2 linked regions of the Diceros bicornis minor genome follow. The protein of the gene in region 1 purifies or fractionates together with the protein of each later gene. This does not show direct contact. Links are inferred from orthologs where the notes say so. Each region holds a gene or a part of one and is shown on either strand. Other genes may lie near its edges.

The links.
Region 2: the proteins of S100B (region 1) and IQGAP1 purify together in Homo sapiens (co-immunoprecipitation; 3 studies listed by BioGRID and IntAct, with this or other methods). This does not show direct contact. The link is inferred for Diceros bicornis minor from reciprocal best matches to the Homo sapiens genes S100B and IQGAP1.

Annotation. Positions count from the first base shown.
Region 1 is NC_080766.1:45,975,550-45,986,772, forward strand, and holds S100B (protein S100-B), read right to left. Parts: upstream 5,629-11,223; coding exon 5,491-5,628; intron 2,815-5,490; coding exon 2,674-2,814; downstream 1-2,673. UniProt on the Homo sapiens protein: Small zinc- and- and calcium-binding protein that is highly expressed in astrocytes and constitutes one of the most abundant soluble proteins in brain.
Region 2 is NC_080744.1:94,453,967-94,465,193, forward strand, and holds the start of IQGAP1 (ras GTPase-activating-like protein IQGAP1), read right to left. Parts: upstream 5,586-11,227; 5' UTR 5,528-5,585; coding exon 5,473-5,527; intron 3,741-5,472; coding exon 3,641-3,740; intron 1-3,640. UniProt on the Homo sapiens protein: Plays a crucial role in regulating the dynamics and assembly of the actin cytoskeleton.

The sequences.
Region 1 (11,223 bases):
CCACTGACCACGTGGGGAACAGACCCGCCAGAGCAGAAGCCCCCCCGTCCGTGCGCCGCCTCCGCCCAGCGCTGTCTCCTCAGCGCCCTGACTCCCGGGTAGCCACTTCCGGTCTCGGATTCGCTCCAGCATCCCGAGGTGGACATGTGACTGTCTGGACCAATCCAGCTGCCCTCCCTGGCGATTGGTTCACAGAAGGCCACGTGATACCAACCAGGCAGGAAGTTCCCGGGAGGATCTTCCCCCCCACGCTCCGCTCCGTCCTCAGCTGCCCGTCACACCTGGTCCTTCTGCACCCCTCTATGCCCCATCTCTTCACGGCGTTGGGCACCCTACCTCTCACACCCCACCCCTTCACACCTCGCCCCTTCTCGCCCCTCCACACCTGCCCCTCCACACCCGCCTTCACACCTCGGCCCTCCTCACCCGCCCCTCCACCCGGCTTCACACCTCGCCCCTCCTCACCCGCCCCTCCACACCCGGCTTCCCGCCTCGCCCCTCCTCACCCTTCCCTCCACACCTGCCTTCACACCTCGGCCCTCCTCACCCTTCCCTCCACATCCGCCTTCACACCTCGCCCCTCCTCACCCGCCCCTCCACACCCGGCTTCACACCTCGCCCCTCCTCACCCGCCCCTCCACACCCGGCTTCACGCCTCGGCCCTCCTCACCCTTCCCTCCACACCCGCCTTCACGCCTCGCCCCTCCTCACCCGCCCCTCCACACCCGCCTTCACACCTCGGCCCTCCTCACCCTTCCCTCCACACCCGCCTTCACGCCTCGGCCCTCCTCACCCGCCCCTCCACACCCGCCTTCACGCCTCGCCCCTCCTCACCCGCCCCTCCACACCCGGCTTCACGCCTCGGCCCTCCTCACCCTTCCCTCCACACCCGGCTTCACGCCTCGGCCCTCCTCACCCTTCCCTCCACACCCGCCTTCACGCCTCGCCCCTCCTCACCCGCCCCTCCACACCCGCCTTCACACCTCGGCCCTCCTCACCCTTCCCTCCACACCCGCCTTCACGCCTCGCCCCTCCTCACCCGCCCCTCCACACCCGCCTTCACACCTCGCCCCTCCTCACCCGCCCCTCCACACCTGCCTTCACACCTCGGCCCTCTTCACCCTTCCCTCCACACCCGCCTTCACACCTCGGCCCTCCTCACCCTTCCCTCCACACCCGCCTTCACACCTCGCTCCTCCTCACCCGCCCCTCCACACCCGCCTTCACACTCGCCCCTCCTCACCCGCCCTCCACACCCGCCTTCACACCTCGGCCCTCTTCACCCTTCCCTCCACACCCGCCTTCACACCTCGCCCCTCCACTCCTCGCCCCTCCTCACCCCTCCATGCCCCACCCCTTCATGCCGGGCCCCATCCAAGTGTCCCGCCTCCTGCCCCCGCCCTGGCGTTGTGGAATGCAGCATCTGCTGCCATGATGATGCCAGGCCGTGTTGACTTCGCTCGTCTCCCTAGTGTTGCAGGTGTTTCGCTTTTATTCCATGTGGAGCGGCTACGGAGACTTGTTACAGTGCTCGTTTTATTTAATGCAAGTACAAGCGATCAGTTGGTTTATGAGTTTCCAAGTCTGTGGCCTTAAAAAATAAAACAGGAAAAGGGTTGGATAAGATTAATTTGAATTTCCCTGGAAGTGATTTTTAGTATTTATAACTTGTGTATTTGAATTATTTGAAATGATTTATTTGAATTCGTGGGTACAAAAGCACAAGTTCAGGTTTCCACTGACGCTGACTTCACCAATAGCGGGGAGCAGACCCTGACTGAGCACAAACAAGTGAAGCACGACATCCACGGACAGACCAGGCGCTTCATTAGGAACCCATCATTTTACAGACAGAGGAGGCCAGGGAGACGAAATTACTTGCAGTACACTGATCTCCAGAGTGTCAGAGCTGAAACTCTGGTCCTGAGCCCGGGCGTGCTCCTTCTGCTGCACACAGGTCCCACGGATCCAGCAAACTGTGATCTTATCCGAAGAATTACACTGAATGTAGAATTTTGATTCTCAGTTCTGCTTAGAGTTAAAATATCAGTATTTGTTGGTTTATGAGACATATTTTTCCATTTAGAACTGTTAGCATTAAATATTTACTCGGTAATCACAGCTCACTGTAGGCAAAGGGATCTAAACGTGACCATGCTGTATAGGTAGGTGGGGCAGCACTGTCAGATCACCTAACTACTGTGGGTTTCATCTACACTGATGATGAACAGATTTGAGGCAGGGCAGCCTTTTCAAAGGGCGGTGGACAAAGCTTTGTATTTTTAAATGTAGTGGAGACAAGGAAACTACAAATGTCCGGGGTCATTTTTGGTGGTTTGTTTTTTCTGGGTTAGGATTCTACACAGCCACAGCAGCCAGTAGAGCACATGCTTTATGACTGAGAATTGACTTTCCTAAATGATTATTACCAAGAGTCCCAGGGACCAGCCAGCTAACACATATGCCTAATATAGCAGAAATAATGATGGGGGCCATTAAAAACAGCCCTTGGAAAGAGATTTTCAATTTTTCATTCACAAAGCAAATCAAGCTTCCTAATTAGCTACAACGCGCTGGAAAGCTCGGCTCCTACTAGCCTGCAAGCCCTTGCTCTCTGCTTCCTTTAGTGACCTTCATCTCTGTTACAGGAACAGCTTGGCTGCTTTCTTTAGTTCACTGGTGTTCAAAGAACTCGTGGCAGGCAGTGGTAACCATGGCGACGAAGGCCATAAATTCCTGGAAGTCACATTCACCATCTCCATCGTTGTCCAATGTTTCCATGACTTTGTCGACAACCTCCTGCTCTTTGATTTCCTGAGAGATAAGAGAAATTGCCCAGCTTATTTTTAAAGGAAATTTAAGGACATCAAAACATGATTAAAAGTTGGCTGGCTTTCATAATTTGTATCAGAAACAATCCAAGATGTACAATACAAAATGCCAGAAAAGATTTCTCCTGTGACCAGGGACTGTTGGCCAGGCAGAACCCTCTGGGGGTCTGGGCTATTTAAAAAGACTGTATGGAACAACCAAGACCTGAAAAACTGCAGGTTGTTATCACTGTACTTTAAACAAAACACCTGGAAAAGAAGACTACAGTCTAGATCCGCATGGGCATATTATATGAAAATGTCTTGAAAGAAAAAATGAACTTTTGGCCCCCCTAAGGTTTTCATTGTTTCTGTGTGTGGAAGTTCCTATAGTGAAGGCTTCCAGTGGATTTTCATGTTTTGAAAGTGTTTTTTGGCTGAAATAACTCTTGGGAACATGTCCTAAATTTGTTAACTCCTTGTGTTCTTTTTGCCTGTTGAGTTACCTTATAGGGCATGGAACTTTTCCTGACAGTTCTCTTGTCCAACAGTGAAGCCAAGAGAATGGTGTCACAAAGGCTCAGAGGAGCAAACACAGTGCAGGGCTACAAATGTGGTGGAAAGAATGTGGCACTGAACACTGAAGAAGAGCATAAATGCGGATTGCTCAGAATAACTAATCCCTAGGGCAGGAGATCTTGGCCCAAAGAAGTCAAGTAAAATGTACAATTGCTGCCTTGAGTATAAAACATATGAAAGATTGAGATTCCAGTGGGGGTTGCGCTGGGCCCTATAAACATCTGCTGAACGGTGGTTGGGAGCAGTGCATTAATTTCAATACATTATAGATTTGCCTCCAAACCGAAATTACCTTGATAAAATGAGGCCAACAAATGTTCATGATATCTTGATACACTGACCATGAATTCTTTCTCTTTTATAAATTGTGGTTCCCACATGCTAAGCTTTTTTTATGTTTTAAAGTCAATAGTTAATAATAGTAGCTACTACTTGTTATGCTTTCACTATATGTTAAGCATTTAACAAACACTGTCTTGTTTCATCCTTACAACAATCCTTTTTACAGAAGAAACTGGAACTTTTTTTTTGATGAGGAAGATTCTCCCTGAGCTAACATCTGTGCCAATCTTCCTCTGTTTTGTATATGGGACAACGCCACAGCATGGTTTGATGAGTGGTGTGTAGGTCCACGACTGGGATCCAGGCCCTCGAACCCCAGGCCGCCAAAGTGGAGTGTGCAAACTTAACCACTATGCCACCAGGCCGGCCCCAGAAACTGGAACTTTTTGGTTGTTAAGTGGAAGGCAGAATTGTTGGGACTAGATAACTGAATGTGTGAGTGGGGCAGCTGCCACTCTGAACTTGGATGCCTGAGAAAACCAGTCCCAGAATCAAACTAGAGGACACCAACCCCTTTCAAGCCTCCAGGCTGCTTCCTCTGCTCTGGCAGTGCCATTGACAGCAACGGAGTGTTTGGGTGGGAGTAGGGACAGGAGAACCCCAGCCAGCCTTGCAGACGACGGGTGCTGCCTTGCTGCTGGAACCTGGGGCTTGTCCTGTGCAGAGAGGCTCGGCTAGGTCAGGAGGGCGGCTCCCCATCACTGTGCAGCAGGGCCCTGCCTGGTGCTCTGGTATCTTCCCCAGAAGTAGCTCTTGGTCAGACACTAGTGCACTGGTTCATTGTCTGGCCATTTCCCCTGTGTGTGATTGGTCCCTTCAATGACCTTGGTTCTGGGCACTAAGGGAAGGTCAGGTGCCAGGTGGACTGCAGTTCTTTGCCTCAAAGGCACAAGACTGGTATGCAGTAGGGATGCTGGGTGGCTGATCTGAGGGCAGTGGAGACGGTGGGTAGGGAAGTGAGTCCTCCATGAGGTGTCTGGACGTACTCCCACCACAGGCCAGAGCAGGAACTGCCTGGAGAGTGACAGGGCTCATCGGGGGCCCTCATGCAGCTTCCTAAGTTAGGGTCTCAAACTGAAGACGACTCTTCTCCAACGTCCTCACTCCAGGGAGCCCCCTGCAAGGCCTCAGGGCCCCCAAAGGATGCAGGGGCCTCTCTCGTGCCCTCAGGCAAGTAGGTTGTGGCCCTTCACTGATGTGCCTGGCTGGGTGCCCCAGAAGCAGAGGCCGTGGCTTCAGGCCTGTGTCTCTCCCAGTATTGAACATAGTGAGTGCTCAGTAAACTTTGGCTGAGTGAATGGCATCTTCTATCAGCATGGTGCATGCTAAACATCTAGCCAAAATGGTCCTTTTCCCAAAAACAAAAGCTTATTTATAACAACTTGCTTATATGTTCACTATGGCCCTTGATAAGTCATGAAAATATATTTTCCATCCCATTCTGCCATCATTATTGCTGTAAATCCTCAGATTTCTTTTTTCAGAGAAAAGTCAGCATTATTTGGAACTTTTGAGACAGCAGTTTTTCCTTGATGCTTCTACTATACACAAAACAGATGAAAATGAAAACAGTGGGGCCCATCTAAGCTAGTCTCCATAATGAGGGTTCAGTTGTGAAAACAACTTTTCAGAAGAAACCTAGTAGTCCTGAAATGGAACTGGAATCACCTCAGGGCAGCTCAGAAGAGAAAGTGTACAGGTGGTTTTATAAGTGGAGAGGAGAATGGCTAGACTGTTGATTTTAAAAAGCAAGGCTCACCTCTAAAAAATGGGAAAGCTCATTGTTGATGAGCTCCTTGAGTTCAGATTTCTTCAGCTTGTGCTTGTCGCCCTCCCTTCCGGAATATTGATGGAAAACATCAATGAGGGCCACCATGGCCTTCTCCAGCTCAGACATCCTAGGGGGCCACAAAGGAAAAATGTCTTCTCATGCTTCTGCCTTGTTTGTATATAGAACAGTTAAAGTGTTATCTAAACAGACCTCAACCCAGAGGAGGGGGCTAGACCGGCCTTGGCTCATCTTCTTTCAGGCTTAGAGAAGGGCACTCTGGGAGCTTGCACAGTTGTCACAATTCTCCCGTCTGCCTCTTAGACCCACTCTCCCACCCTCTCCTCTCTTCTCTGTCCCTGTGGGCCCCACTGATAAGTTCCCATGCCCTCTGGCTTCCAGTTGGGTTTGGCCAATGGGAAACTTCAGGAAAAATACAGAGGCAGAACAGTGAGGGAGTTCAGGGCTAGAGTCCTCCTTCTTCCCCAGTTGGCGACCTTCTGCCCTTGCAGGGCTCCAAGACGAGTGACAGAGCGTGGTTGAGCAAAGCGTCGACTGCAAGCCGTTAGAATTAATGAGAAAGAAGGTGACTAGGAGCCAAACGAGAATACAAAAATCAATAGTGTTCCTGTATTCTATCAGTAAACAACTAGAAAACATAGTAGAAAAATCCTATTCATATAGCAACACACATATCACTTAAGAATAAGTTTAGCAAGAAAAGTGCAGGTCCTTCAAAAAGATTCTAAGGATCATAAAATGTAGGAACTTGCTTTCCTTTGAATTAATACATAAATTTAGCTCATTTTTAATAAAAATATTTATGGGATTTTTTTTGATGGGTGAGGAACATGACCACAAAGCAGCTGTAAAATTCAGCTGGAAAAATAAATACAGCAGAATTGCCACACATGTTTTTGAAAAAGAAGATCAATGAAAGGTACCTTGACCTACTGGAAACAAAAATGTGTCATCAGGTGATGGGATCAAGCTGGTTCTGGGGCAGACTAGGCAAACGCGGCAGGAAGATGAGCCACAGGCGGGTGTTTAGCATTCACGCAAGAGCTGCCTCTGGTGCGCAAGGGGAGTGTCGCCTGTTCACTGATGTGGCCGCACAAATGCTGGAATAAGTGTTTCTTTGCAGTTGCCAACGTAAGAAACTTCCTACTTCCCTCACAGCATGTATCTTATACCACAGCCTGCAAACTGAGGAAATATCTGTTTAATCCTGGGAATTAGGCACATCTTAGACAGGATGGCTTGTCAGTTATCTCTTAAAACTGAGATACTCAGCCAGAGAAATTTACCAACTTTTGGCCTTGAGTTCTAATCATTAAAGAATCTTTGCACTGCCGTAGTTAAAAATAATAAAAAAAATTACATCTGATTGTTGAAAAATCATTCCCATGTTGAATATGTCACATCTTAAAAATAAACTGGAATAAAATATTTAAAATTTTACTTATTTCTGATTTCCTAAGGGAAAAAGGATTGAGAATGTTTGTCTTGGCCTGATCGTTGCTAAATTTACTCTATTAGTAATCAGTATTGCTCTCAAGTCCCTAAAAATCAGATGTATCACTTGTAGATACAACAATTCAGATGGATTAAAATCTTTAATAGGTCATACCTTCTTATCCTTTGCACTCAAGTTTTCAATTATTGATTTTTTTGTTTTTAAGTAACAAAACAAAAAACCCGAGAAACTTTTGTATCATCCTGATGCTTCTCAAAGTCTGTGATGATTTGGGGAAGGGGAGGTTAAACTAATTTTTCATGAAGAATGCCTACTGGGATTTTTTTAAAGGCAAGGCATAAAACATATAGTCTATATGTTCGAAAACTCCATAAAATGTGATTTTCTTCATAACCACACTACAAGTTAATTAGGAAAATTTTTTCCTATTAGATTCTCCCTTTTGAGAAACAATTGATGGTTTAAAGCTTATCTTTTAAGAAAAATATAAATCAAATATCCATGTTTCCTTTTCACTTCATTCTGTGAATATTCTGCATTAATCTTTTTATATGAAAAACAAGAGAACTTTTGGGCTTTAACTCCTTAGAGGGACACATCACACATGATGTGAGGGTCCCCTCTAAGGAAAGGGTCCTACTTCCCTGAGAAATTGTAAGACTAAGGAAAGTTAAACTCACCATAAACCCCAATTTCTTTGACCCATTTTGTAATTTACTTTTAAATAGTAAATTTACTTGTAAATTTACCTGTACAGTTGTCATGTAATTTCTGAGCGGTGTCCAGGGGGACCCTGACATTTCCCATTGAGGGAAACTGGAAAACCGAGAAGCAGGTATATACCAAGGGCTGGGGCAGAAGCCACGAGAAGAGAAAACATTGCTTTATGTTGCTTTATGAGATAGGGCTAAACTAGCGTCAGGTTGCCCGTCATTCTCAGCCCCTGGGAGAAGCAAAAACCCTGCTCTTCAAGGGGCAAAGATTGCAAAATATTTCTAAGAAGCACTATTTGTAGTACTTCTGGAGAAATGTCAGCAGTCACCTCTGAGCCACCAGACCTGAGGTTTCTCCGATTTATAGGAATAAAAACATAGGCAAATGAATCTCTAGCTACCTAGAGTTGAGGTGATCATGCCCACAAAACAGTAATAAGATCCACACTTTTGAAACGCTGCCATTTACCCTAAGGGGACTTTTTAAACTACTGCCCCATTCCCAACCCCACCCTCTTGATCCCCTGCCCCCAAAAGAAAAGAATAGGTTTTCCTGAGTGTCCTCACGTCAGTGGCTGTTGGTTGCTGCTCCTCGTCACCTCTGGCTGCAGAGTCTGGAGTGGCAAGAGTGATGGGCAGAGGCAGCCTCTTATTCCTTGCTCCCTGGGCGGTTGGGGCGTAGGCCGGTGCAGTCCCACTGCAGGCCGAGGCAGCCAATGGAGGCCGAGGGTGGGGGTGGGGGCGGCTGGGGCGGCCAGGCCTGCACACAGGGCTGCATTGACCAACTGCCACGGCCACCCAGGGACTCGCTGGAGAGCCGGGACTGCACATGGGGCAGGAAGTGGGGAGTCAGCTTTTTGTGCCATTTTTAAATTTATACACGAATATTGATGTTCCTCTAAAGGCAAGGTTGGAGGTGGGGAGAGGAGAGAGACGGATTAATTGATTCAGACAAAGCAAATGTGCGGCCAAGAACATGAAGCTTCCAAGTACAGGATGAACGCAGAGGATTAAACTCTGAATACAGAGTTTCCAATGGAGAAGCCCTGAGCTTCTCTCCCCTGGTCTGGCCCCCACCCTCGGACGGGTCGCCCTGCGGACATCAGTACTCTGAGCTAAGCAGGGTTGCCTTGAGAAGCCGCTGACCCCAACATCTGCAGGAACTGAAATGTGTGGCAAAGTAGGAACTTGATGCTTTTAGGGAAAAATCCTTATTTAATATGATTGAGGCACGTGCCAGGTGCACCCCAAGGCCTCCTTCACCCCAGGGTGAACAGTCACAGACTGTCAGACCTAGACAGTGCCCCAGACATGTCCTGTCCAAATGCTGTGTGTTATAGACAGGTACAGGCGGTGAGCCCCTCTCTGAGGCCCCACAACCAGCCACAGGAAAGCCAAGTACAGACTTCCCACCCCCCGTCTTCAGTGGTACCCTACCCAAGCTATTTCCAAGCAGAAACTCAAATGGTAGGCATTCCTCTAGACTCATTATACAAAAAGCATTTGCCCCAAACTCATCAAAGGACGTCTAAACCAGAATCAGGGCCCTTGTGCTGACTCAGGTCACAGTGGCCACGGAACGATCAAAACACAAAGATGTCTGTGGATACAGTTGTTTTGTCGTCATCTGTTTTACCAGGAAATTCATGACTGTTCAACACCCAGAAATGTCCCCTGGAAATAGCATGGGGCTGTGAGCCTCGGGGCTTGAGTCGTCCTCACCTGGACCCCGAGCCTGTCCCCACACCCCCGTGAGTGGGACCTGAGCGATGTGGTTTGGCTGTATTTCCTCAGCTGCCCCAAGGCTGTGGTCTCGTGAAGGGTCAGACACCTGCTTGCTCTGTGAAGTGCAGAACTTCCCACATCTGAGGAAGGAGCAACCGTGTGCTGGGTGCCCAGGCACTGTGTCTGAGGGAGCGCTGCTCCTGCGCACCCTAACCACTCCCCTGCGCGGCAACCTGGGCTCTGGGTTTGCCCTTCAGGGTTCACAAAAAAGCTTCAGCCTGCTCACGCAGTTTGGAATCCACTCATCTGACCACTGGATGCCTGAGCATGGGGCCTGCCATCTGGACACAAACCTCACAGCCTCCTGGGACAGCCAAGAGTGGTGTCCTGTGCCCACCCTGTTCCAGCTTCTGTGGGAGCAGGCGGGAGAGGACGTTCTTCAGAGAAGTGAGAGAGTGGTGTCAGGGCTCACAGGCTGCGAGAGAAACAGCCCATCTGGAGGAGAGGGGCTTTCACGTGCTGTGGGGCCCCCAGGGTGGCATCCTCCCCCACTCCCCAGGAGCTCACAGACACAAGTTCTTCATGTAACTTTAGAAGAACATGGGAAAGACATCTGTGACCTCACCAAGTTTCCACAGACTCACAACTCGAGGCTGAGTTTCAGCGCCATCACTTGACAAAAGTGTGACTTGGGACAAATTAGAACTGTTCTGCGAGGGGGGTGATCAGAGCCCTCACCTCACAGGGTTGTCTGGGGCCAGAAGTCCTTCCTTGACCTTCACACTTCCAGAGGACCCTGCTTCCCTTTCCTGACACCCTAGTTTTGAGTCTCATCTCATTAGACTAGAACCCCTGGTCTAGTCATGTGTGACTTGCACATTCACTGCCTCCCCTCAACTGTTTTCCACAGGAGGGCCCTGTACTAAAGCACCTAGAAATACGTTATTGAGTGGGACACCCGTGAAGCTCTTTGCTTGTGGTCTGCCTATGACCATATGGGATGCCGTCATTGAAATAGTCTCCCCTGTTTCAGTGGGGATGGTGGGATTTCAGAGTAGCAGAGCTGAATGACCTCACTCAACCATCAGATAGGGTGGGTGTGTCTGCTGTAAAGGGGAGAGGGACAGACCAGTAATCAGAATGCCTTGGTCCCCAGAGCTCTTTGGCAGTGGCTTACTGATCACAGTGTCCCTAGCAATGAGACAGATGGACGGCCTACTTGAGTAGTCCTTAACCCACACAACAGGAAAACTCTAGGTCTGGTAGCCAAAGCCTGACTTGAATCACCACAGTGGAGAATCACAGCCTCTCTCCAAGTTGCCAGACCGAAGTCGGGTTGGACCAGAGCCTCTTGGTTGAAGGAGAGGCAGGTCCCCTTGAGAGAGACCCTGCACTACTGCCAGTGTACGTGTGTGAGTGTTCTCCACACCTTCCCCACCTGCACTGCAGACACTTACTAATGCGACCGTGTAGTAGGGAGAAGGAAATACCCAGATCTCTTCAGGGATTATTAGATAGGCTCTGCATTGATGCTCTGCATTGATGCTAATTCCTGGGGCCACAAAATGGACCTGTGGCCCACTGGTCAAAGTAGGGATTTCAGGTGACAGTCTTAACTCTACCAACTCACAGTGGGCCCAGGTCATGCACAGATTTTCTCTGCAGGTATTTCTTCAGCTCCTGAATGTATAATCAAAACAGACATACTTGGTCACTAGCAGAATCCCCTTGCTGGCTCTCTTACATAACGAGGTGAGGCTCATTATGATAGGAAAAGCTAGGTGAACATCCCTAGAAATTTTCTTCTTA
Region 2 (11,227 bases), on another chromosome or scaffold:
CTCACCTGCAGCCTACCCTGTTCTGCCCTGCCTGATACGTGATCTTCTTGCTTCTTTTCACCTGAACTTTCTGATCTTTCTCTTTGTTACTTCCTCCTGTCCAAGACCTGAGCACCTCACATATTTAAATCTCACCTCCTTCAACTGAGCGAAAATGCTGTTCTACTATATGGCTGCTCTTTAGCCAAAACAAATGTAAAGCCCAATCAGAACAGGCAAAAGGATAAAAATAATCCCACATTTAAGCATAAATATGTAATTTAAGATGTCTCCCTCTATAAATCCTTGGTCTGCTCTGCAGCCCTAACAAAAAGTCCTGAATCCTTAGATGATATTTCATTAGAACAATAACTTAATTCCCATATTGAAGCTACTCTCTAAGCAATAGAGAAAAGCAGAATCTCTGTATTTTCTATTTCCCAACCACTCCCTGCACACTTTATGGAATCACTCCTAAATTTTCCCTCTTAACCTTTTGGGGAAACACAAACCCGTAACTATAACACACTCTCATGAATCTACACACACTCTTACTTACACTCACTGTCTCCACACATTCATATTCACTCTCTACACATTCTCCTCTTCCCATGAAAGAGCTGTAACAGGTACAGGAGAAAATGGAGTGCCCTAGGATACACAATGGGGCCACTGTACTATAAGGTGGAGCTTCCAGCGGGATGAGTGGCAGTAGTATAAATAGAACTAAAGAGGGGAAACTTTTCTCCCTTGGATCTCTCTGATCTTTCTTCCTGGCCTTGGAATGGGTGTAAATTCCAGACCTTGGGGCTCCTCCAACTTGGGAGGGGTGGAGGTTATAAAGGAAACAGGATGGGACCAATCCAAAGAGGCAAATTGGGCTTGTACTAGAGGGGAAAGAGGGGCCCCAGCAGCATACAAAGTACAGTCCAGCTCACCAGAGTAGGAGACACAACTGGGAGCTGAAGCCCCAGCGAACATGGCAGAGCATGGGATTTGTCTGTGGTGTACCTCAAACACTTTTTAGGGGTGGCAGCAGCCACATTAGGTGACCCGTAGGAATCCCAGTCTTCTTTTCTCAGCATGACATTCCTAGGCTTCTTTTCCTAGCTCTCTCTAGCTGTAAAACTTAAATAGGTGCTTCCAAAGTTGATATTCTAATCAAAGCTTTAAACAAAAAAAATCACCACATTCAGTTTATATGATTGCCTCCATGAAGTAAACAGGGCACATTTCCACAATGCAGGCCAATGGGCAGAGTGTACCAGGGCAATATGCCACTATTATGCCCTCTCTTATAACCCAAAGCATAAAAAATAAAGATGATCACAACTGTCTTGCTGCCTTAGTCGCTTCCCTAAGTATGTAAAAGCACCCAACAAAAACACCCCAGGGGATCATGGCCCCCTGGATGGGTTCTAAAGAAAATGGGATACTTTTCTATTCTGGAAAAAACACCTGACAGGGCCGGCCCCATGACTTAGCGGTTAAGTGCATGCTACTGGCGGCCCGGGTTCGGGGCCCGGGTTCGGAGCCCAGGCATGCACCGACGCACTGCTTCTCTGGCCATGCTGGGGCCACGTCCCACATACAGCAACTAGAAGGATGTGCAGCTATGACATGCAACTATCTACTGGGGCTTTGGGGAGAAAAAGGAGGAGGATTGGCAATAGATGTTAGCTCAGGGCCGGTCTTCCTCAGCAAAAAGAGGAGGATTAGCATGGATGTTAGCTCAGGGCTGATCTTCCTCACAAAGAAAAAGAAAAAGAAAAAAGAAAAAAAAAAAAAAACATCTGACAGAAAAGAATATGCTCTGGAGCAGATGGAAATGAAGAGCCTTGCTAGTGCAGCACTGGAAGAAGGAAATGTGATGAAGAGCACCACTCTGTTCAGGCTCGAATAACCCAGCATAAGGCAGGGTTCTAAAAATGCTTTAAATCTTGTTTCTCCCCTTGGGCAGGGGGGCCGGTGGGCGGGTGGCTGTGTGTGTGTGTGGCATCACAACCACTGGAAGCATTTAAAATATACAGGTATCTGGACCTTCCAGCCCTGATCTACCGAACCAGAATCTCGGTGGTAAGGCCCAGATATCGGTATTTTTCTTAAAGTTTCCCCAGGTGATTCTAATGCACACATCTGGTTAAGAACTGCTGAATAAAATGATGAAAATATTCTTCAATTAAAAAAACTACAAGTAAACTATGAGAACTCAGGCCTCAGTTTCCTCACTGAAATGAGACAGTTGAATCAGATCAGTGGCAGCAAGGGGGTGTTAGCCAAGACATCCTCTGCAAAAAGGGAATTTTACTATGGAAACTCAATATTAAAACAAAAGCAGAACTGCATTAGATGGGGGAAGGAAGGCAAGTTGGGCCTCTTCCCTCTCATCCCTAGGTCACCTCAACAGGGACATCAAGGCTTCACAGAGCACAGGACAGTCTCTCATACCAGCTGCAGCTTTCAAATTCTATGACCTTCCAAAACTAGATCTAATCCACAATGCAAGTATCAGAGGACTTAGTATTTTTATACACGGGAGCCTTACAAACTTTGTATGAGAAACATCCCCTTTTCTAATAACATATTCACCTCCTGCTGTCTAACCTTCCATTTACAAAAACAAGTGTTATTATCATTCTCCCCACCTAAATCATCACTAATCCCAGTCCCCCTTCCCCAGTCTAATGGAAGGGCTTTAAGCTCAGAAAAGAAGCCTGGAATCAAGAAGACACACCAAATGCATGTTAGTGGTAGGCCCAAGGATGGGAAGGAGGAGACTGGGACCAGAGAGAGGCACAAAAAGGACTCCATGTCTTTTAAGAGGAAAGGGAAAGATCTGAAGGGCTAACAGTTGTTAGTTCTGGAATACATGGATGTTTGTTGTTTTGTTCTCTGGACTTTCCTGTAGCGTTTTAAGATCTTCAGAATTACCAAAACACTCTTGTTTATTAGCACCATTTGAAACATCCTTGATTTTCAGTAGACTTTGATCACCAATACCCTTGATTAGCCCTTGCTGGCCTTTTCCACCAAAGCTCACTTATAGGATAAATGATCTGTAATTACATCTATCTACCCTGGGACCTTGCAAAGGAACACAAGCACCAGAACAAAAGAAATGAACCACTGATAGCAAATTGACACTCTAACAATAAGACCACAAGGTCTGGGAGTATCAGAAAACAGCAGCTGTACATTCACTTCACAAAGAATGCAGAGGATGCTGCCTTTGGTAAACCGTCTTTTAACATTGCCAAATAGAGGACCTATACCCAGAGCATTACCCAGGGGAGAATGGACCCAATTCATATAAATCAAAACCAGTGAGAAACCAGTGAAACATAAAGGCCAAGAATTTCAAACACTAAAAACGCTATTTCTTCCCTACAACTGGCAGTGCCCAAAACACGCATCATAAGCATGAAACTGAACAACACAAATCTGGAAATTTTTCAGTATATGTAAGTGCCCATCAATGTTTCACGATAAACTGCTATCAAGGCTACTTGCTCCCATGAATAAATACCCTAACTATACTTATTCCTTCAAACTACCAGCCTCCCACAGTCACACCTACAACACATTCAAAGAGATCTTTATCTGTGTTCACACCATATCAGCTCCCTTCTCCCAGTCTTCTCTCCAGCCAGCCAATCTTTACCTCTTTGCTTCTTCCAAATGACAAAGGTACTCATAAGCCACATTCTGACGTCTCCTTTCATCCATCTCCTCTGCCGTGAGTCTCTCATTATCCAGGACAGCTAAAACATGAAAGAAAGAATGTAAACATAAGAATCTGTAACCTTCCCAAGCGATAAAAGAATGCCACAGCATCAAATTCCTGCTAGTCACCTAGAGACTCAGGGTAACCTGTGGATGTGTGGGTAGCCAGGTGTACAACAATGACTGTCCTAAAACAGGAATTACGGGGTTTCAACTATACTCATCTTACCCTTTTTTAAAAAGTATGGTAATATGAACATGTACTAAAATTCAGTGTAACTTGAAAAATACTGACTTGAGATTTTGGCCCAAATTTGTCCTCGTCTATCTGCCAGACTAGCTCTAAGTACAGAGCTGATCATGGTATCTCCCTCTTTTATTAACAACCAAAGCCAGCAGTCATTAAGAACTAAGTGGCAGTAATAAGGCTAAGCAGTTTACATGCATTCTCTCATTGAAGCCTCACTAGCCTGTAACTGTCACTCTCATTTTATAGATGAGAAAACTGAGGCTGGGTGATCTTAGCCCCACAGCTAATAAATGATGGGGCCTGGATCCAAACCCAGGCAGTGTCTCAAAAGCCTGTGAGCTTAACCTCTGCAATCAACCTCCTTCATGAGCACCAACGTATGGAATAAATTCCTAACTCCTTGGGATGGCATTCAAGGCCTTTCCCAATTTAGCGCCAACTATTTTTGGAAACTCTCCTCCCTCTCCCTGTTCTTCCTCCCACCACTGTGCACTCCACACCACTCAGTTCCTGTCACACACAGCACCCTTCCACTCTTCAACGCCTTAGAAGAGTTTATACTCTTCTCTCTTCGTCATGTCTCCTGGCCCACCCTGCCCTGTCAAACTTTACACAGCATCCTTGAAGACAGGCTCCGTCAGAACGTCACTCCCTGTGTTCCTCCTGCCTTCCCCACGCTCCTCCCCCCACTCAGGGTACTGTTTATGCCTAGTTAGTTCACTGCATCTTTTATCTTCACTACACCTTATTAGCATTAGGTTGTACGCCTGTTTGTCTCTCTAATGAAAACGTTCTTTGAAGGCAGGGCCTAGTCTTACTCATGTTTAATTTCACAAACGTGACACAAGACCTCACAGATAACTGTTGAGTGCAATTATCCTAAAAACAGAACATTAGTCCCAGAACATAAAACTGAAAACCTCAAGACTCCAAAGGACTCGCCTTTGGTAACTATGCCGCCTGATCCAATGATGTCCTAGGGACAGCAACAGAAAATGAGGAAGTCAGAGGTGGGTTTTTTTTTTTTTTTTTGAAATCCTGACGAGGGAACTAAGCCCACGAAAGCTGAAGTGACTTGACCAGGGCCACACCTCTCGGCTAGCCTGGGGCCGGGCAGGTATGGACGCCGGGTCCACCTCGCAGGCAGCACCTTCCCACGAGGCCGAGCAGAGGCCCCGTCTCCGCTCCCCGGCCCCGGGACACGCCCTGCGGCGTCCGCCTGCCACCTCACCCAGGGCCGGCTCCCCAATCTCGGTCGAGCGGCAGGCGAGAGGCGCTGGGTGGGGCCCTCCAGCCCCCGCGCCCGGTCCTCCCCGCCGCCTCGGAGACCGGGGGCGCGGGCCCGGGGCCTCGCCGCCCGCCACCCCTCCAGCCCGCCGCCGCCCGCCGCCCGGCTCTTCCGGGTCCGCGCGGCCCGCAGCCGCCCTGCCCCACCCGGCTGGCCGACTCCCCGGGGAAAGGGCACCTCGGAGGCAGCGAGCCCGGCCCGAAACCCCCGCGCCGCGGAGCCCCGCACTTACAGCCATAGTGCGGCCGGGCCACGCCCAGCCCGTCAACCTCGTCCGCGGCGGACATGGCGGCCGAGCCCGGGTCTGCTGAGGAAGAGGTGAGACCTCGGAGGCGCGGGCGACGGCGGCGGCAGCTGCTGCAGAGTGCGCGGGCTGCCCTGCTCCCGGAGGCCCCGCCCCGCGCCACCGCCCCACCCGCAGGCCCCACCCCAGCGGCCCCACCCTGCCGCGCTGACGGGAGCGGGCGGAAGGGGGCGGGGCAGAGCCGCCCGGCCCCGCCCTGCGCGCGCACGGTCCCGGGAGGTGGAAGGAAGGAGGCGGAGCCCGGCTGCCAATCGAGGTGCGACGAGCTCCGCTTGGTGGGGAAGGTCCGCCCCTGCCCTGGAGCCTTTGCGTCCCCGGCCGCCGCCCCGGCCGCGCCTCGGACAAAAAGGCCAACGGTGTCGGTTGCTTGAAATAGAAAACGTGGGCCTTCCCCTTCCACTGCCTGCCCATATAAATTCCTCTGCGCCAAAGAGCTCAAGGAAGGCGTCTGTTGAAGTGCCCTAGCGTGTTCTTGCTGGACACAAGCAGGACACAAACTGCCATAAGGGACCTCACAGTCTGGCAGTCTGGCTTCAGTCCTCTCCTAGATTCGCCAGCAGTCGCCAGATTTGGACTCCTCCACCCCCCAAGTATTTGAGAAGTGGGTGCTAAAGCAGGAGAACAGTGTTTGTCCAAACTTCCTTGCCTTGGATTTCCTGCCACTGTTAAGTTCTTCTTTTTAGGGGATTCCTTGCCCCTTTTAGGGATGCCTCTTCCTCTTGCACTTTGTGGCCTGCCCCTAAAATGTTGGTATTCAGCAGAATTCGGTCAGTCCTCTTCTTTGCCCACTCTTGGTAACTTGATCTGTGCTCACCTTGAACTGCTGAAGAGCCCTAAATATATATAGCTCCAGACCAGACCCTCTAGAAGCCCTAACTCAATATTTTCAGCTGTGTAATGGACATTTTCACCTCTGAATCCCGCAGACACTTCAAATTTAACGTGTCGAAACTGCCCCTGCTCCTGCTATATTCTCTACTAACAGAAGTGCTCAGTTCGCAGCCGGGACACGCCAGTCTCCTTGCCTCGTGCCCTAAATCCAATCGGTATTGCTTCTGAAGTGTCTTGCTTTTGTCTCTATCTCCACTGTGATTACACAGTTCAGATTGTCGTTATCTCTATTCTCCGTTCTGCCAACTAGCTCCTCACAGTCAACAGCATGTTCTTTCTAAGGTGCAAACGCAGTTGTGTTATTCCTTTTTATATTTTTTCCTATTACTCCCTTCGGGTTATGGTCCAAGTTCCTTAGCATGCCAAATAAGCCCCTTCACAACCTGACTCCAGGCTTTTTGCTCTAGCTGTTTTCAATTTATCCACTCTTCCTTCAAAGTACTAAAGTGAGTTGCTTAAAAACATAAGAACAAAACACCCCCATTAAAAAATGGGCAAAGGTTTAATTTACAACAAATTCAAAAGTTAGTTCTTTCTTAAGCTTTTAAGTTCAGCTTACAAATTTTATTCTAGTTATGTCTAGCATATTTTACCACTTTTCAGAAACTTTGAATAATTTTTGGTCCCATTCACAAACTTAGTTAATCCAACATCTTCAAACATTTAAAATTATGTCCATAAAAATATCTTAGATTTTCTTTTTAATTTCTTCAGTTATCTAATCTAGAACCTTTCAGAGTTTAGTAATCCTTATAAATCAAGTAAACGTACAAATATAATGAATCCAAAGTTTTCTTAGCCCAGTTCCAAGTGTAAACTTAGTAAGATTTCAACTCAAAATCTTAAGTCTAAAACTAACTCAATTATACATTTAAAATGAATTATAAGGCTGTCACTCTAATAAGCCAAAATTTCTTAAAGATTGCAAGTTCATGAAATGTGAAATATGCACATATTTCTTCTTAACACCAACATATTAATCCCACAGTTTTTACCCCATTAAGCCTTTCTGTATTTAATTCTAAAGCTTCTCTGAGTTGAAAGACACAGAGCTGCTAAGAAAGCCAGTTTCCAACCTAGTTAACTAAGATTACTTTCGATCAGACATTTCTACCAGACATAAGTCCTGGAGGCACAGACTTTTAGAGCCATTCTTCTCACTGCGTCAACTGTCATTTTGAGCCCCTTTTTATATTATGTCATGGTCTTCAAAACTCGTTACCTCATCCTCTAACTACTCTGAGAAATCTGCAAGTCCTACACAGTTTATCTTTTGATTTTATTTTATATTTCTTGGCTTTTAAGATATGTACATTGTGTTTTTATTTTAATTCTAAAGACCTGTGTAAATGGATGGAATCCAAACATGTAAATGTATTTTCTCTCTAACGATAAAGATTATGAACCTGTTGGCCTCTTGCATTTTTTCTTATTCCTAGGACCATACAATTCTAACAGGTATTTTTTTTTATAATTTTTTTAATTTATTTATTTTTCCCCCAAAGCCCCAGTAGATAGTTGTACGTCATAGTTGCACATCCTTCCAGTTGCTGTATGTGGGACTCGGCCTCAGCATGGCCATGGCCGGAGAAGCGGTGCGTCGCTGCGCGCCCGGAGCGCGAGCACTTAACTGCTAAGCCACGGGGCCGGCCCTCTAACAGGTATTTAAATCAATATCCTATTGAGTTTCAGATAGCTCACATTGCTTTATCTGATGGTCACAAATTAATTCATACTTCATAACTATAATAACTGAAATGTACTGAGGCGTTACTGGACTGTTTTGTATTTATTTTCTCATCTGAGCCTCATAATAATCCTACAGAGTAAGAACTGTTATTATCTCCAATTTACAGATGAGAAAATGGAGAACTAACTCAACTGAGGTCACACAGCAAGAGGCAGAGCTGGAACTCAAACCCAGGTTTGTCTAGTGACAAAGCCTACGTGCCTGGTCAATAAACACAAGATTCAGAGAAATGAACATTAAGATCATAACTGGCCACTTACCACTTCTTGCCTATCAGAGTAGCAATGTTTTGTTTTAATTGATATTATTGGCAAAGGGTTGAAAAAGCAACCACTCTCATGCACTGCTGGTTGGGCTGTAAATTGATACAATCTTTCTGAAGTCCAACTTAGCATTTATGTAGCAATCTTTCAAAGAATTCCACTTCTTTAAAAGAATATATCATAACAAAATTATTATTATTTTTTGTGTGTGTGAGGAAGATTGGCCCTGAGCTAACATCTGCCAATCCTCCTCTTTTTGCTGAGGAAGACTGACCTGGGCTAACATCCATGCCCATCTTCCTCTACTTTATATGGGACACCGCCACAGCATGGCCTGACAAGTGGTGCCTTGGTGTGCGCCTGGGATCTGAACCGGCGAACCCCGGGCAGCCGCAGCGGAGCGTGCACACTTAACCGCTTGCGCCACCCGGCCAGCCCCCAAAATTATTTTTTAATGTGCAAAAATTAGTGATGAAGATGCACATTGGAAATGTCTTAAAAGCCCACCACTAGGTTTTTAAATCAGTGATGGCACCTCCACACAATGGAACGCTATACAGTCATAATAGTGATGATTTGTGGTTCTGGTCAGGCTTGCCTGGCTACAAGGAATGGAGACCCACTTGTTTTACCTCTAGAGGAAAAAAGCCTGGAAGGGAGGTATTTCTAATAAAGATATATATGGATTGGAACTAGAGCAAGAAAAAACAGGACTAACGGAAGCTTGAAGGCAGGGCTCTGTCCCTCTGGGTATATCTGCTTCTCCACAGGTCTGCTCTTACCCTCCTCTCTTCGGCAACCAGCTTCATCAATTCTAATATTTTCTGCTCCGTCACAACTCTGGCTTCTATTTGGCTTGCCATGGCCTTGGGCCATGACATCCTTACACCATCAGCTCCTTTGAGGATAATCTCAGTTGCCCAATTCCCGTAACCCAGTGGCATATGATTGGCCCAGCTCATCTCTTCACCCCATGTGTATGTTTCTGAATGCCCACAAGTGGGCTGCCCTTGGATCAGATGCCAATCCTTTAGTTCAATTAGCTGTGGTCAGGAAATACAGCCAATTAAGGATAGAAAACTGTGAGCTGGGCATTATTTCCTTCAATGGGAGGCTGGGTAGGCAAACAATGATCAATATTCCTAATATGATGGTTAAGTGGAAAAAAAAGCAAATTATGAACTAATAAACATATTATGATACCATTTTTGCTTTAAAAACATATAGATAGATATAGATGTGCATATGAATAGAAAAAAGCCTTGAAGCCTATACACCAATACATTAACAGTGGTTTCTCCAGTGGTGGAATTACAGTGGATTTGTGTGGGATTTGTTTGTTTATTTGCTTCTTTGCATTTACCAAGTTTTTTACAATGAGCTACTAGAAATACTATTTTGTCAGTAGGTATAAGTATGAATAATGTTAGTAAATATGAAATGAATAAATAAATAAAAGTTAAACGACATAATAATGAGCTAAATGATCATTTTGGGAGATAGAATTGGTTCATGACCGTGGAATATACAGACTCAGGGGAGTGGAGCAATATTGACAGGATAGCTTCAGATAAGAACCATAATAGAGGTTTCTTTTGGCGTGAAATACATTTTAGCCTCTTATTTCCTTGAGAAAAACCTAGTCAACTTCCCAGACCCAACACAAATGTCATCTCCTCTCCCAGGCAAAATTAATCACTTCCTCATTTATTTCCAAGTAGCACTTTAGAAACCATGTCTTCAAAAAGAAGTCCCAAGTTTTTTCACATTTTAACTTCTGAAATCAGGATAGGTCTTACAATCAGTATTAAAAGAAACTAGCCGGGGCCGGCCCCGTGGCTTTGCAGTTAAGTGCGCGTGCTCCACTGCTGGCAGCCCGGGTTCGGATCCCGGGCGCGCACCGACACACTGCTTCTATGGCCATGCTGAGGCCGTGTCCCACATACAGCAACTAGAAGGACGTGCAACTACGACATACAACTATCTACTGGGGCTTTGGGGGGGAGGGGGGAAAGGAGGAGGATTGGCAATAGATGTTAGCTCAGAGCCGGTCTTCCTCAGCAAAAAGAGGAGGATTAGCATGGATGTTAGCTTAGGGCTGATCTTCCTCAAAAAAAAAAAAAGAAAAAGAAAAAAAGAAACTAGCCGTCTACCAGGTAGAGAAGTAATGGAAAAGTAACATAATTGTCATTGCTTGCAGATGTGTGAATTTAACTAATTTCTCAGAAAAGTTCAGAGAACTTTCAGAGCTAGAATTGATAACAGATTCACGCTTTAGGAATCGTTAGTGGATCCAAATAGAGTTAGACTCTTCATAAGAAGCTTGGCTCCCGCTTTGATTTAGAGAAGTTAGTAAGTAATTCCAGTGATAAATATATGCTATTGTCCATCAAGTTTTTTCAAATATATACATTTGATAGGATATTCTTAATGACCCCAAAAGATGTTGAAATATGATGGTACATCCCACAATCAAAGGTGTCTTCAATTCTAGGAAGTGTGTAACCTTATGTAACTCTATTATAACACTTAGCTCATTGAATTATAATTAGTTATTTACAGGTCCACTTTCCCAGACAGATCATTAACTCCACAAAGACAGAAATTTGGGTAAATAAACTCAGTGTGAATAGTTAACAAATGTAGCATTCTTACCGTTGGGATTTTAGTATTTGCTTTTTATGTAGTTTATATAGAAATTTTTCAGAAGGATGGATTCCCTAGGACAGATAGTAATATTTTGACTGATTTAGTCCCTTGCCTTGTATAAGAACATATA